Mus musculus: one gene and its partners. The protein of the gene in region 2 interacts with the protein of the main gene of each other region in a pairwise test. Links are inferred from orthologs where the notes say so. Each region holds a gene or a part of one and is shown on either strand. Other genes may lie near its edges.

What was found.
Region 1: the proteins of Exosc10 (region 2) and Mphosph6 interact in binary tests that used the Homo sapiens proteins (3 or more experiments, as listed by UniProt). The link is inferred for Mus musculus from reciprocal best matches to the Homo sapiens genes EXOSC10 and MPHOSPH6.
Region 3: the proteins of Exosc10 (region 2) and Exosc8 interact in binary tests that used the Homo sapiens proteins (3 or more experiments, as listed by UniProt). The link is inferred for Mus musculus from reciprocal best matches to the Homo sapiens genes EXOSC10 and EXOSC8.

What each region holds. Positions count from the first base shown.
Region 1 is NC_000074.6:117,799,191-117,802,936, forward strand, and holds the start of Mphosph6 (M-phase phosphoprotein 6), read right to left. Parts: upstream 2,785-3,746; 5' UTR 2,713-2,784; coding exon 2,662-2,712; exon of another isoform or gene 2,654-2,661; intron 1-2,653. UniProt on the Homo sapiens protein: RNA-binding protein that associates with the RNA exosome complex. Involved in the 3'-processing of the 7S pre-RNA to the mature 5.8S rRNA and play a role in recruiting the RNA exosome complex to pre-rRNA; this function may include C1D.
Region 2 is NC_000070.6:148,571,815-148,575,460, reverse strand, and holds part of Exosc10 (exosome component 10), read right to left. Parts: intron 2,543-3,646; coding exon 2,492-2,542; exon of another isoform or gene 2,432-2,491; intron 2,351-2,431; coding exon 2,272-2,350; intron 2,184-2,271; coding exon 2,077-2,183; intron 1-2,076. UniProt on the Homo sapiens protein: Catalytic component of the RNA exosome complex which has 3'->5' exoribonuclease activity and participates in a multitude of cellular RNA processing and degradation events.
Region 3 is NC_000069.6:54,732,584-54,736,329, reverse strand, and holds the start of Exosc8 (exosome complex component RRP43), read left to right. Parts: upstream 1-965; 5' UTR 966-1,305; coding exon 1,306-1,322; intron 1,323-1,997; coding exon 1,998-2,034; intron 2,035-2,163; coding exon 2,164-2,227; intron 2,228-2,598; coding exon 2,599-2,672; intron 2,673-3,584; coding exon 3,585-3,630; intron 3,631-3,746. Other genes in the region: Alg5 (dolichyl-phosphate beta-glucosyltransferase), read right to left, coding at 681-746. UniProt on the Homo sapiens protein: Non-catalytic component of the RNA exosome complex which has 3'->5' exoribonuclease activity and participates in a multitude of cellular RNA processing and degradation events.

The DNA of each region.
Region 1 (3,746 bases), on a different chromosome or scaffold from region 2:
TGGCTCATGGGTGGCCAGCCATAGGTACCAGGGCACCCGGCAGACAAACGACTCCCTGAGTACCAGTGACCCTTGGATTAGTGACCCTGTGGTTCAAAGTACAGGTGCCTCACACGGCCCCTTACATTCTTGGTGGCAAAACCTGACTAACTGCCTCCTATCTTCAATTTCGCCTTAGCGGATACATGAAGGCACACAGTCAGTCAGTCACCCACATCTACACTGGACAGAGGATAAGAACATGGCTGTGAACCAAGCATGTCTAGGGTTCGGAAGACCTCAGAACACACTCTAAAACTAGCAATTTCACCTCCCTCAAAACTGAGGGTTCAGAGCAGACTCTGGGAAACTATAGCTCTCCAGCTCCATCAGTAACTGTCTAGGGTTTTTTGTTTGTTTGCTTGTTTATTTCTTAAGGTTTCCCAGATAGGATTTCACTGTGTAGCCCTGTCTGTCCTGGAACTCAGGATGTAGACCAGGTTGGCCTTGAACGCAAGAGATCCACCTGCCTCACAGGCCTCTTCAGTGCTGGGATTAATGAAGCATTGCTGTATGATGTTTTCTATAAACTTGGGTTTTTCCTCTGGGCCCCAAGCTCCCATAAATAACAACTCTGAGACTCAAATATATTTACAAATACCTAGGCCAGATAGCATCCCAGCTCAGCTTGCACTCAAAGCTCATGGGGGAATGCTCACTCCCCGGCCCTCGACACAGCACCCGTTTATGCCTTCCTTCCTTTTCTTGGAAACACGTTCTCTAAGAGAGTTTTCATTTCACCATAAGCACTGACAGACCACAACTTCACATGGTGAGGCTTAATGAATCAAATCACCTTTAAGATGGTGGGGATCTGCTACCACCCATTAGAAACACTACTAGGAATGCTGTTTCCTGGGCTAGCCATATGTAAGAGGAGACTCTATTAGGCTGCTGGGGCACAGTGGGCCACAGCTCCCAGACAGCTACACCATCCTGGGGTAAGCTACTGAAACTCTATAGTGTACTGTGTAGCTAAACTATACCGCTTGGTAGGTAGGACAGCTCTGTTAAACACATGTTTATAATACTGTTGAGTCAGGCGTTGTAATCAAGCTCCCCGTGTGTTAGAGACAGGTGCTACAGGCTAATCATTACAAGCAGAAGCTCTGGGGCCAGATGACCAGTCTTTTCAGCTGTTACTTCTGTCTCAGATACCTCAGGTGTCAGAGATGACAACTGTAACTCCTTCAAATGTTACTATGTGAATTAAGTGGTTCAGTATATACACGGAGAACAATGCCGGAATATTGGGAGGACCGTGAATACGTTCTATTAGTATTATTTAAGCTTCAAGAGTTAGCTTTTCCCTGTCTTAACTCCTGTGTTCATCCGCTTTTAACCCCTTTTAAATTGTGGTTAAGCTGCTTCTGTTTTAATGATGTCTGAGACAGGGTCTCATATCCAGCTCAGGCTGGCCACAAATTAAGCTCCTGCCTCCACCTCCCAAGTGCTGGGATTACAAATGTGTGCCATCAAAGCCACTTCAGCTGGCTCAACTTCAAATTTAAAAATCATGGGCTGGGGAAGTTGGCTCAGTGGCTAAGAGCACCCTTGACTCTTGCCTAAGTCCTGGTACTCATACCTGCTGACTTAAAACTCCAGTTTCAGGGGCTCCAACACTCTCTTCTGGCCTTCGCAGGCACCTGAACACACATGGTATATATACAGCTATGCATGCACACACACAAAGGGAAACTCATTTTGTTTAAAAGTTAGTGGAGAACTCATTTCACCCCACTAACATTTTCTCCATTCCCACCACGAAGACAACCTTCACCCAGAACACAGGAACTTTTTTAGCTCATCCTTTTGGCTGTGAGCTTTCACGTTGTTGGGCTGGGCCTTTCTGATTAACCATCATCCACAGTTCAGTTAAAGTGGCCTTAAAAAAACAATAACTAGCCAGGCGTGGTGGCGCACGCCTTTAATCCCAGCACTTGGGAGAGGCAGAGGCAGGCAAATTTCTGAGTTCGAGGCCAGCCTGGTCTACAGAGTGAGTTCCAGGACAGCCAGGGCTACACAGAGAAACCCTGTCTCGACCCCCCCCCCCCCCAACAAACAAACAAACAAACAAAAAGCAATTAACTCAGAAAACAGTTTCCTCCTGCTCATGAGGCAACAGGAACAAAACTTCAGCCTGGCTTACAATTCCTTGGATGTGTGACCACTAAGATTTCCAGCCTCATTTTATGCTCCTTGTCTTTCAGACGTCCGAGCTACCTTTAGTTCTTTGCAACGTCCCTGATTTTCTCCTTCTTAGCTTCTGGACTCACTTTCCCTCAGTTTAGGACACTACCTGCCATCCCTCACGTTGTTCCTCCTTAGGGACCACTTCTCGCGAGAAGTCTAACTTCCCAGGCGGCCCAGACACTAAAGCCACCACAGCACTCAACTCTGCAGGCTCTGATGAACGTTGTGCAGGCTCCCTCCCCACATCAGGCTAAGCAAAATCTCACCCCTGGTGCCCAAAGGCCCGCAGGCTGAGCGAATGAATGGGGTGCGCTGGCCGCGGCCATCCCGAGCCAGTCTGCCCATCGCTTCGGCCCGAGTCCCACTACGGAACATCTCGGAGCTCAGCAGCCTCCCCGCCCGACAACCCAGCATTCCCGACCTCAGCACCTTCATGCGCAGCAGGTTCTTGGATAACTTAGTCTTGCGCTCCGACGCCATGTTGGACGCACTTGCAGAGGCTTTCCCGCCGCACTGCGCTTGCGCACGGTCAAGAGCGGAGCTAGATAAGACGACGCTCTAGACCCGCCCGGGCCACGTCGCTTACAGGCGTGGCAGAGCTTTAGCTCCGCCCCCGCGCCGTTGCCACGCCCCCGATTAGGCACACCCATCGCGCTGCCCCGCCCTAGTGCTCGGAGCTGCTTCTGGCTTCTCCAGCTCCCGGAGCGCGTCTCTCCGCAAAGAGCTGTGGTAAGAGCTCGGGCCACCGCGGGGCGACTGCGATTCAGGGTCCCAGGGCTAAACTCAGGAAAGGCGGATTAAGGGGAGGACGCTGGAGCTGTAGGCGGGGCCTCCACGACACCCGAGGACTCCCTAACGACCCGGTCTGGAAGTTCCTTGCTGAGGTCCTAGCTGAGGCCGCTGAGGTTGCTGCCAGAGTTTAAAAGTTTTAAAAATACGAATGGTGGCTTTCTATGAAGCGTGTTTTCTAGAACTCTCAGTAGCCCTGAGCCGCTGGTGTCGCTATGCTCTGTCCCAGAGTGAAGGAGGTGGTCACAAACCCAGGCTGCGTGATAGCTGTAGGGCTGCACACAAACCGTGGAAGACTGATGAATATGCATACACCTGTTCGCTGTGCATCTTGGAGCCTGAAGGATTTCCTTCTGGAATGGGAAGAATGGCAGGAACTAGCAAGAGCTGTACGCAAGGCGACAACTTGTGAAGGGGCCAGGGGTGGTTTAATGGGTGAAAACACTTGCTGCCAAGCCCGAGGAGGACATGAGTTTGATCCCCGGGACCCCCGTGATGGAAGGGCAGAATGGACTTCCACAAGTTGTGGTGCCGTACCTCGTAAGTATACGGAAGGACACATCACTGGCATGTAATAAGCAACCCGCTGGAGAAGTGGTAAAGTCGAGATTCATAAAGCATTCCGGATATTAAACGCCCTGCAGGTTTTCTCAGTGGAGTAAATAAAGACATAATGTGTTAAGTGGTTACAGAAACACATTTACTCATAACTGTCAGTGAGACAT
Region 2 (3,646 bases):
ATATTATAGATCTTGACAAGGAACCAGTAAAAACATGCCATCAAACATTGCTTCCAACTGGATTCATAACATCGACCTGTCCCTTGAAGTTATGTTTGCTTCTAACACAGCAGAGACAGTACAGCCTTCTTCAGACTAAACTTAGAAGTCAGACGTCAGTGCAGCCTCAAGTTCAGGAAGACTAGCGTGGAATGGGGCACACCCTTATTTATAATCCATGCACTGGAAAGACAAGGCAGGAGAAATCCAAACCATTTGTTTGTTTTGGTTTTTTTCCAGAGTAGTGTATCTCTGTGTAGCTTTAGCTGTCCTAGAATTCACTCTGTAGACCAGGCTGGCCTCAAACTTAAGAGATCCACTTGTCTCTGCTTCCCAAGTGCTGGGATTAAAGGCGGGCATCACCACTGCTGGTTGATTTTTAAAAGAAATTTTATGTGCATGAGTGTTCTGTTTGTTTGTTTGTATGTATGCGCACATGTGTAGCCGGTGCCTGCCTATGGAGGTCAAGAGGTGCTAGACCCCCTGGAACTGGAGCCATACATCACTGTGAGCTGCCACCAGGGTCCTGGGAATTAACAAAGTCCTGCAAGAGCAGCACCTGAGAGACAGAAGTCTGAGGTTAGACTGGGCAGCAGGATGAGGTCCTGACTAAGAAGAAAAAGGAAGTTCTACGGAGCAGACCAAGCTGCTGCGTGCCCATGACAGCTCTGCCAGCCAAGACCAACCACCACCCTAAACCCTGTCGAATATACTTTTACTGTGACAGGCTTTGTCTGTGTAACCCTGTTTGTTCTGTTACTGTGTAGAGTGTAACTCACTGGCCTCAAACTCAAGAGACCTGCCTGTCCCCACCTCTCGAGTGGTGGGCATGCACTACCATGCTTGCCTCAATCAGGACTTTTAAAAATGTGTATGTGTGCATGTGTGTGTACATAGAGGTCAAAGGACAACCTTTGATGTATGCTCATCACCATGTAAGCCAGGCTAGTTGGACCAGGAGACCTCTCCCATCTTACCATAGGTACAATGGGATCACAGAGATGTGTTATAATGTCAGGCTTTTTAGTGTTTTCTGGAATCCAAGCTGTAGCCCTCACATTTGCATGGCAAGTACTTTATCCACAGAGCCATATCTCCAGGCCTTTAGGCCTTCCCTTTGCAGGGAACCTAGAGGTGCCAATACAGGCAGAAGCAAGCAAGCTACATCACAGCCAGGTCCTAGGAACACAACTCAGTCCGAGCAAGGCACCCAGGGTCTCCAGAATGGATACCCTCTCCCAGGGTCAGGGAGCAGGGACCTGCTACTCCCTAGAGCCTACCCTGGCTGATGACATTTCTTCTAGTGAGTTATAGTGTGCAACGTGTTTTCCTAAAAGCGTGTCCAGATGATGACAGGAGTTCAGGAAGTTGTCCACAAACTCAGAGGAATGCTCTGCAGAGCCTTGCTGGCCAAGCAGCTGATCTGGTCCTCTGCCATGGCTGGATCTACTCTTGTCTGTCATGTCAACCCAGTGTCTTTCTCCTCAGGCACTTTTCCCTCTAAGGTCAGTTGGTCAGTCAGTCTGTTTGTCTCTCTCTTCAGGGTTTCTCTGTGTAGCCCTGGCTGTCCTAAAACTCAGTCTGTAGACCAGGCTGTCCTTGAACTCAGAGACCCACCTGCCTCTTCCTCCCAAGTGCTAGGACTAAAGGCGTGCGCCATCACCGTCCAGCTTTTCTTTTCTTAGAAAGAGATAGATATGTTATGTGTATGAGTACTTTGTCTGGGTATATACATGTGAACTGGAACTATAGACAGCTGTAAGCCATCACGTGGGTACCTGGAATTGAATCCAGATCCCCTGTAAGAACAGCCAGTGTTCTCAGCCTCTGAGCCACCGCTTCTGCCCATACTCTAAGGTTTCTTCACCAACAGTGCTCATGAGACCCCCCTGCCCTGTAGAAAGCTCCACACCTCTCTAGCTTTACCTTTGGCACTGTTCTCAAACGTGCATGCAAACTCCAGGCAGACAGCCCGTGTGATAAGACCACATGGCATGAGGAAGCCTGAACCACCGTGGGGACTTCCTTGTTACTCACACTGAACAGAGTGATGACGGCTGTGGCAAGGAGGCATCCGGCATCCACAGAGGTCTCTTCTTTGCCCTCAGTGAATAGGCTTGGCTGCTTCTGAAGTGGCAGGGTCCCTAGAGACACAGAGGTAAATAAGACCTGTGGGCTTCGTCCAGCAAACTGGCTCCATCTGTCTGGGAGTCCAGAGGGTTTCCATCTTACCATCAGTTGAGGTGTTCTGGTAGTTATCTGGAGGGGCGTGGGAACAGTCATGGGGTCCAAAGAGATCATTCTCCAATCTCTGCATCAAAGAGAAACCAGCAGACCACATGTAAAACTAATAAGCAAGCCAGGAGCTCTTGGCCAGTGGGACAGCACTGACCTGTCAGGGGCTGTGATCTCCACCCCTCCCATAGGTGACACAGCAGCCGTGACACTGTACCTCGGCGCTAGGCAGTGGTCCGCTCTTCCTCACTCCAGCTGCATTTTCAGACTGAGAAGGAAAGAAGAGTAGGACCGGGAATGTAGCTCTGCTGGCAGAGTGTCTGCAAGCATGCTGGTGGGCCTGGGTCTGACCGCCCCCCCCCCCCGCCCCCCGCCCGGTGTGATTGCACAGGCCTGCAATTCCAGCACTGCAGAGGCGGAAGCAGGAGGATCGCAAGCTCAAGGCCATTCTGGTTCAAACAAACACGCGCACATATACACAAACACAAACCAAAGAAGGAACAAAGGGGGAAAGAAGAAACTGAGGACAGTGAGCACAGCCACTGCCACACGCTCACGCAGCAAGCTGTACTCCTCTGTGATCTGTCTCCCAAGAGCCCACAGCTATCCTTCCACCCCTCACCCTAAGGCCTGCCATGTCAAAGGCCAGAGCTTCCTTCCTGTCAGGAGGTGGGAAGATGCAACGCTTCCAGCCAGCCTGGAGCAGCCTTCTCTGGCAGCCAGCATACTTTCTACTTATACAAACTGGAAAACTAAGAGGGGCTTTGTGTGTTTGTGTGTGAGACCAAGCATGAGTACAGGCACATGTACATGTAGCATGTATATGTGCTGGTGCAGGTGCTCATGGCCTCACACAGGAGATGAGCACCCTCCTTCTGATCTCCTTAGCCCCAGATGGACATCTTAACACAACAGCTACAAACATACCCTCTTCTTTCATTTTGAGTTTTGTGAGTCAACAATGTTTCAAAAGAGAATAAACAACTGATTGCATGCACATATATATATATATATATATCACCACCAAGTCAACACACTCAAAGTAGTCCAAAGAAAGGTGGACATGGTGGTGCAAGGCTGTAATTCTAGCTACTTGGAAAGCTGAGGGTTGGGGGTGAAGAGGTGGGACTGGACTGAAAGTTCAGGGCCTGCCTGGGCTACAGGGTTATTACACAGCTGAACTCAAGGCTAGCCTAGGGAAACCCTGTATGGTAAAACCCTATCTCAAAAAGAAGGAAAAGGGGGGGGGGGGAGGGGCTGGAGAGATGGCTCAGTGGTTAAGAGCACTGACTGCTCTTCCAGAAGTCCTGAGTTCAAATCCCAGCAACCACATGGTGGCTCACAACCTCTTCTGGTGTGTCTGAAGACAGCT
Region 3 (3,746 bases), on a different chromosome or scaffold from region 2:
AGATTTGTTCCAAGCCTTTAAAGAAGGCATTTTAGTGAGAGAGGGCGCCTGGCTTCACCGGACACACAGCGACAGTCATCTGGCTACACCACTCCAAGACTGTGCATGTGCACATGTACATTGGCTAGGTGGCAGAGGCCTTTCTGGCCACCTGTCTCAATACAGGCAAGCTTTTCAGAATCTGCTTTCTGAATGAGTTACAGGCTCCTTTTCAAACTATGTGGCAGAGTTTAGTTGGCAAATATGTCCTCTTCTACATAATCAGAAGGGGTCTGCCACGTTTCTACAGGAATGGCAAAGAAAACGCTAAGGTGCCTGATTCTCAAGCAAAAAAACCCAAAACAAAACAAAAAGACCCCTGGCCAAAATGAATAGAACGCCGTCTGGGCCTATCTTTTGCTGACCCATCGTCCCTAGCCTTATGGATCGGCCGCTCTTTCCAGCTGCAGTGCATATGGGAGCCCCAGGAAGAAGACTGGGGAGTGGCGTGGAGGGGTGACAGGCGGGGGTTCAGAAGCAGGAGCCCCGAAAAGCTGGGCGGAGGCTCTGGGCACTCAAATAGGGTTCCAAAGGGGAACAAAGGTTCAAAGGATTTCAGGGAATCTGAGGCCAAGGGAGCCAAGCACGCGAGGGAAGCGCGGAAGGGACACCCGGAGCACCGGACTCCACCACGGTCTCACCAGAATGAGCGCGGCAGCCGCCAGCGCCACGCCGAGCCCCAGCAGCTGCAGTAGCAGCGTAGCCATCCCGCAGCTCCACACTTGCGGAAGCGCGGTGCGGCGCCGCGCCCCGCCCCAGCCGGCCCCGCAGGAGAGGCCGGCCTAGCCCTCGCCCGCCGCCCGCAGCGCCCCCGCCTGGCCGTGCCCCGCCACGGCAGGAAAGCCGAGGCCTCCCCGCAGCGCCCCCGCGCGGCTCCGCCGAGGACTGCAGGCCGGTCACCGAGTGCGGCAAGTCAAAGCCCTGGACCTGTGCACTGGCTTCACCCCTCGCGCCGTGCAGAGCAGCCATCTAAGGATGCCCGGCGCCGTGGAGGGTTTTAGGGTCACCCCCTTTTCATCTCGTGCGCCTGCGTGTGTGTGGGAGTGTGTTCGTGCACAAGCGCGCGGGCCCGTGGGACCCCGCGAGATTGGCGACTAGCGGGACGCTCGGGGTGGCCGGAGCTGGCGTTAATGCCTCGGGCGCAGGAACACGGTAGCTGCACTTCCCTAACCCAGGATCCCTCCGAGTGCCCTGGGCTGGAGGCACGCCTGGCGACCGGAGGGCGCAGGCGCGGAGGGCTGCGCAGGCGCAGAGCGGGCCGGAAAAATGGCGGCTGGGTTCAAGTGAGTGGCGGCGCGCGCAAAGAGGGCCCGGGTGCGGGTGTGGCGCGCGGCGGCGGGTGGGGGCCCCCCCGAGGACTCGCGGGGCCGCGGGAGGGCTCTGCCCACTCGAGGCGCTGAGGGACACTGCATCCAGGACGGCCCGGACCTCTTAGCCGAGGGCCACGCCGCTCTCCACGCAGGGCCGCCCTCGGAAGGGACTGGGAAAGCGTTGGGCGCGCTCTGGTTAAACCCGGAGCCGCCCACGCGTGCAGCCTGCAAACTCGCGTCTGCGGTGCGTGCACCGTACCTACCTGCAGTCACTTGTGGCCGCGGGTCGGCGAGGAGGCCAAACGTATGTACAATACACTCTTCCGTGGTAAAGTTGTGGATGCTGGCGAGTGTGGTTTATAACGGCGCGAAGTCACGCTAAGGTCCCTGCTTCAGAGCACGAGTGATGTGACTGACACCCAGGTTGACCCTCTTCTGGGTGTGCCAAGGGCCTCTGTTCCTCCTGACTATGGCACAGTTAAGGTCACCGCTGGAAACCGGTTGCTGCTGTGTGGCTTTTATAAATACGGGCCACACAGTTTCAAACGCCTGAGCCTGTCGAGATCACGCCTCAGACACCACACTCTCAAGTTCTGGGTTTCTGCTTTAGGACGCACTGACTGAGACACGTTTTAAACATTGTTTCAGAACTGTGGAGCCGCTGGAGTATTACAGGAGATTTCTGGTGAGTGAAGGTGGTTTTGTACGTTAGAGCTGTGGGTAAAAACACCAAGCTTCGGTTCATTTAAATGAATGAGGCTTAATGCTGCGTACCCGAAATACATCTATGACCCGTTTCCTTATAAACATTTAGAAGGAAAACTGCCGTCCTGATGGAAGAGAACTTGGTGAATTCAGAGCCACAACTGTCAACATAGGTGAAGATAAACTTCCTTTTAGTTGGGTGGGACATCCTTGGTGTCACGTAGTTTTTCAGCCAGCTCTACTATGTCTAACGCAATCGGGTGATGTTAAGAGATTTTTATCATCACACCAACCTTGTAGTTGATCTAAACTTTAGTTCAAATTGGGAGACCGAAGAAAAAGATGAAAAAACGTTAAGTAGTAATATCATTTTCAAGTCACTGACCTGAACCGGTCAAAAGTTTCAGGGGGTGGGTGGGTGGGGGTGGGGGGAGTTTCAGAGGCAAACAAAAAGATTTAAACTACTTTGTAGGAAACTTTGTGGTTATTTTCTTTTTTTTTTTCTTTTTAAAATTTTTTATGAATACCAAGTTTACCTTTCCAGGTTCAATCAGTACAGCGGATGGCTCTGCTCTCGTGAAGCTGGGGAATACCACGGTCATTTGTGGCGTTAAAGCAGTAGGTTTCCTGTATGCCTGTAATGTCTGAATTCCAAGTTAACTGCATGCTTATGAGGTTGTACTTGATCAGGGGCTGGTATTTGGAATGATATTCCCCAAGGTTGGTTTTTGTTTTTTTGTTTTTTACATGTGAGCATCATTAACGCTTTACAAGGTGAGTCCTCAGCACGTCACACGTTAGGGTTTCAGCAATATCGGTTTTGAAATCGACTGTTACAGTGACACCTTTAGCCATCGATAGCTTTTGTTCGTCGTAGGAATAGTAACTGTCTGCTGAGCTTTTTAGATGCTCTACTGTTACCAATCTCTGTAAGTAGAAGGTAGGCAGAGTCTACTGACAGAACCTGTGCTTTCTCACGTTTCACTGAGCAGCTTTCCTCGTTTAGGTCTGTGGTCAAGCTGAAGTAATAACTGTCAGACCACATACTGCTTGCCAGGATTATACCTGGGACTTAGTGGCACTGTCTCACTTGGGCCCTCAGGAGTAGGCAGGTACTGTTTATCTGTCCCTGTGTCAGCAGAGGAACTTGAGAGATAAGTAACTTTCCCCAGCTCTTGCAGTCTCTTGTGTGGATCTATAGCTGCACTGGGCTCTTATTGCTATATACCTCGCTTCTAGCCACTACTGGCTCCCCAGCCTGGTCATGTCAGTGTCGCTTGGGGATTAAATTCAGATTTGGCTGCTGAACAAGTCATAGGGTGGGCATAATCCCACTGGTCCTCATGGATGAGCAGCACAGTTTGATTACACTGCCCTTTAACCTCCCTGGGAGTCACTAGGAAGGCAGTGCCAGCATCCTTAACATGGGTTAATTGGCTGAAATGGTCTCTGGCACGGCCTCTGTGGATGACTAGAATGTCATCGTGTTGCGTGGCTTTTCTCACTGGAATACATTGTTTGCTTTTGTAGGAATTTGCAGCACCACCAGTAGATGCCCCCGATAGAGGATATGTCGGTGAGTTAAATGCTCATAATTTTAATGAATTATAAGTAAGTTGAGAGATACCTCTGGCAGTGAGGTAATTGAGGTGGATAGCAATTCCCAATGTTCAAAAATAGAATAACGACTCC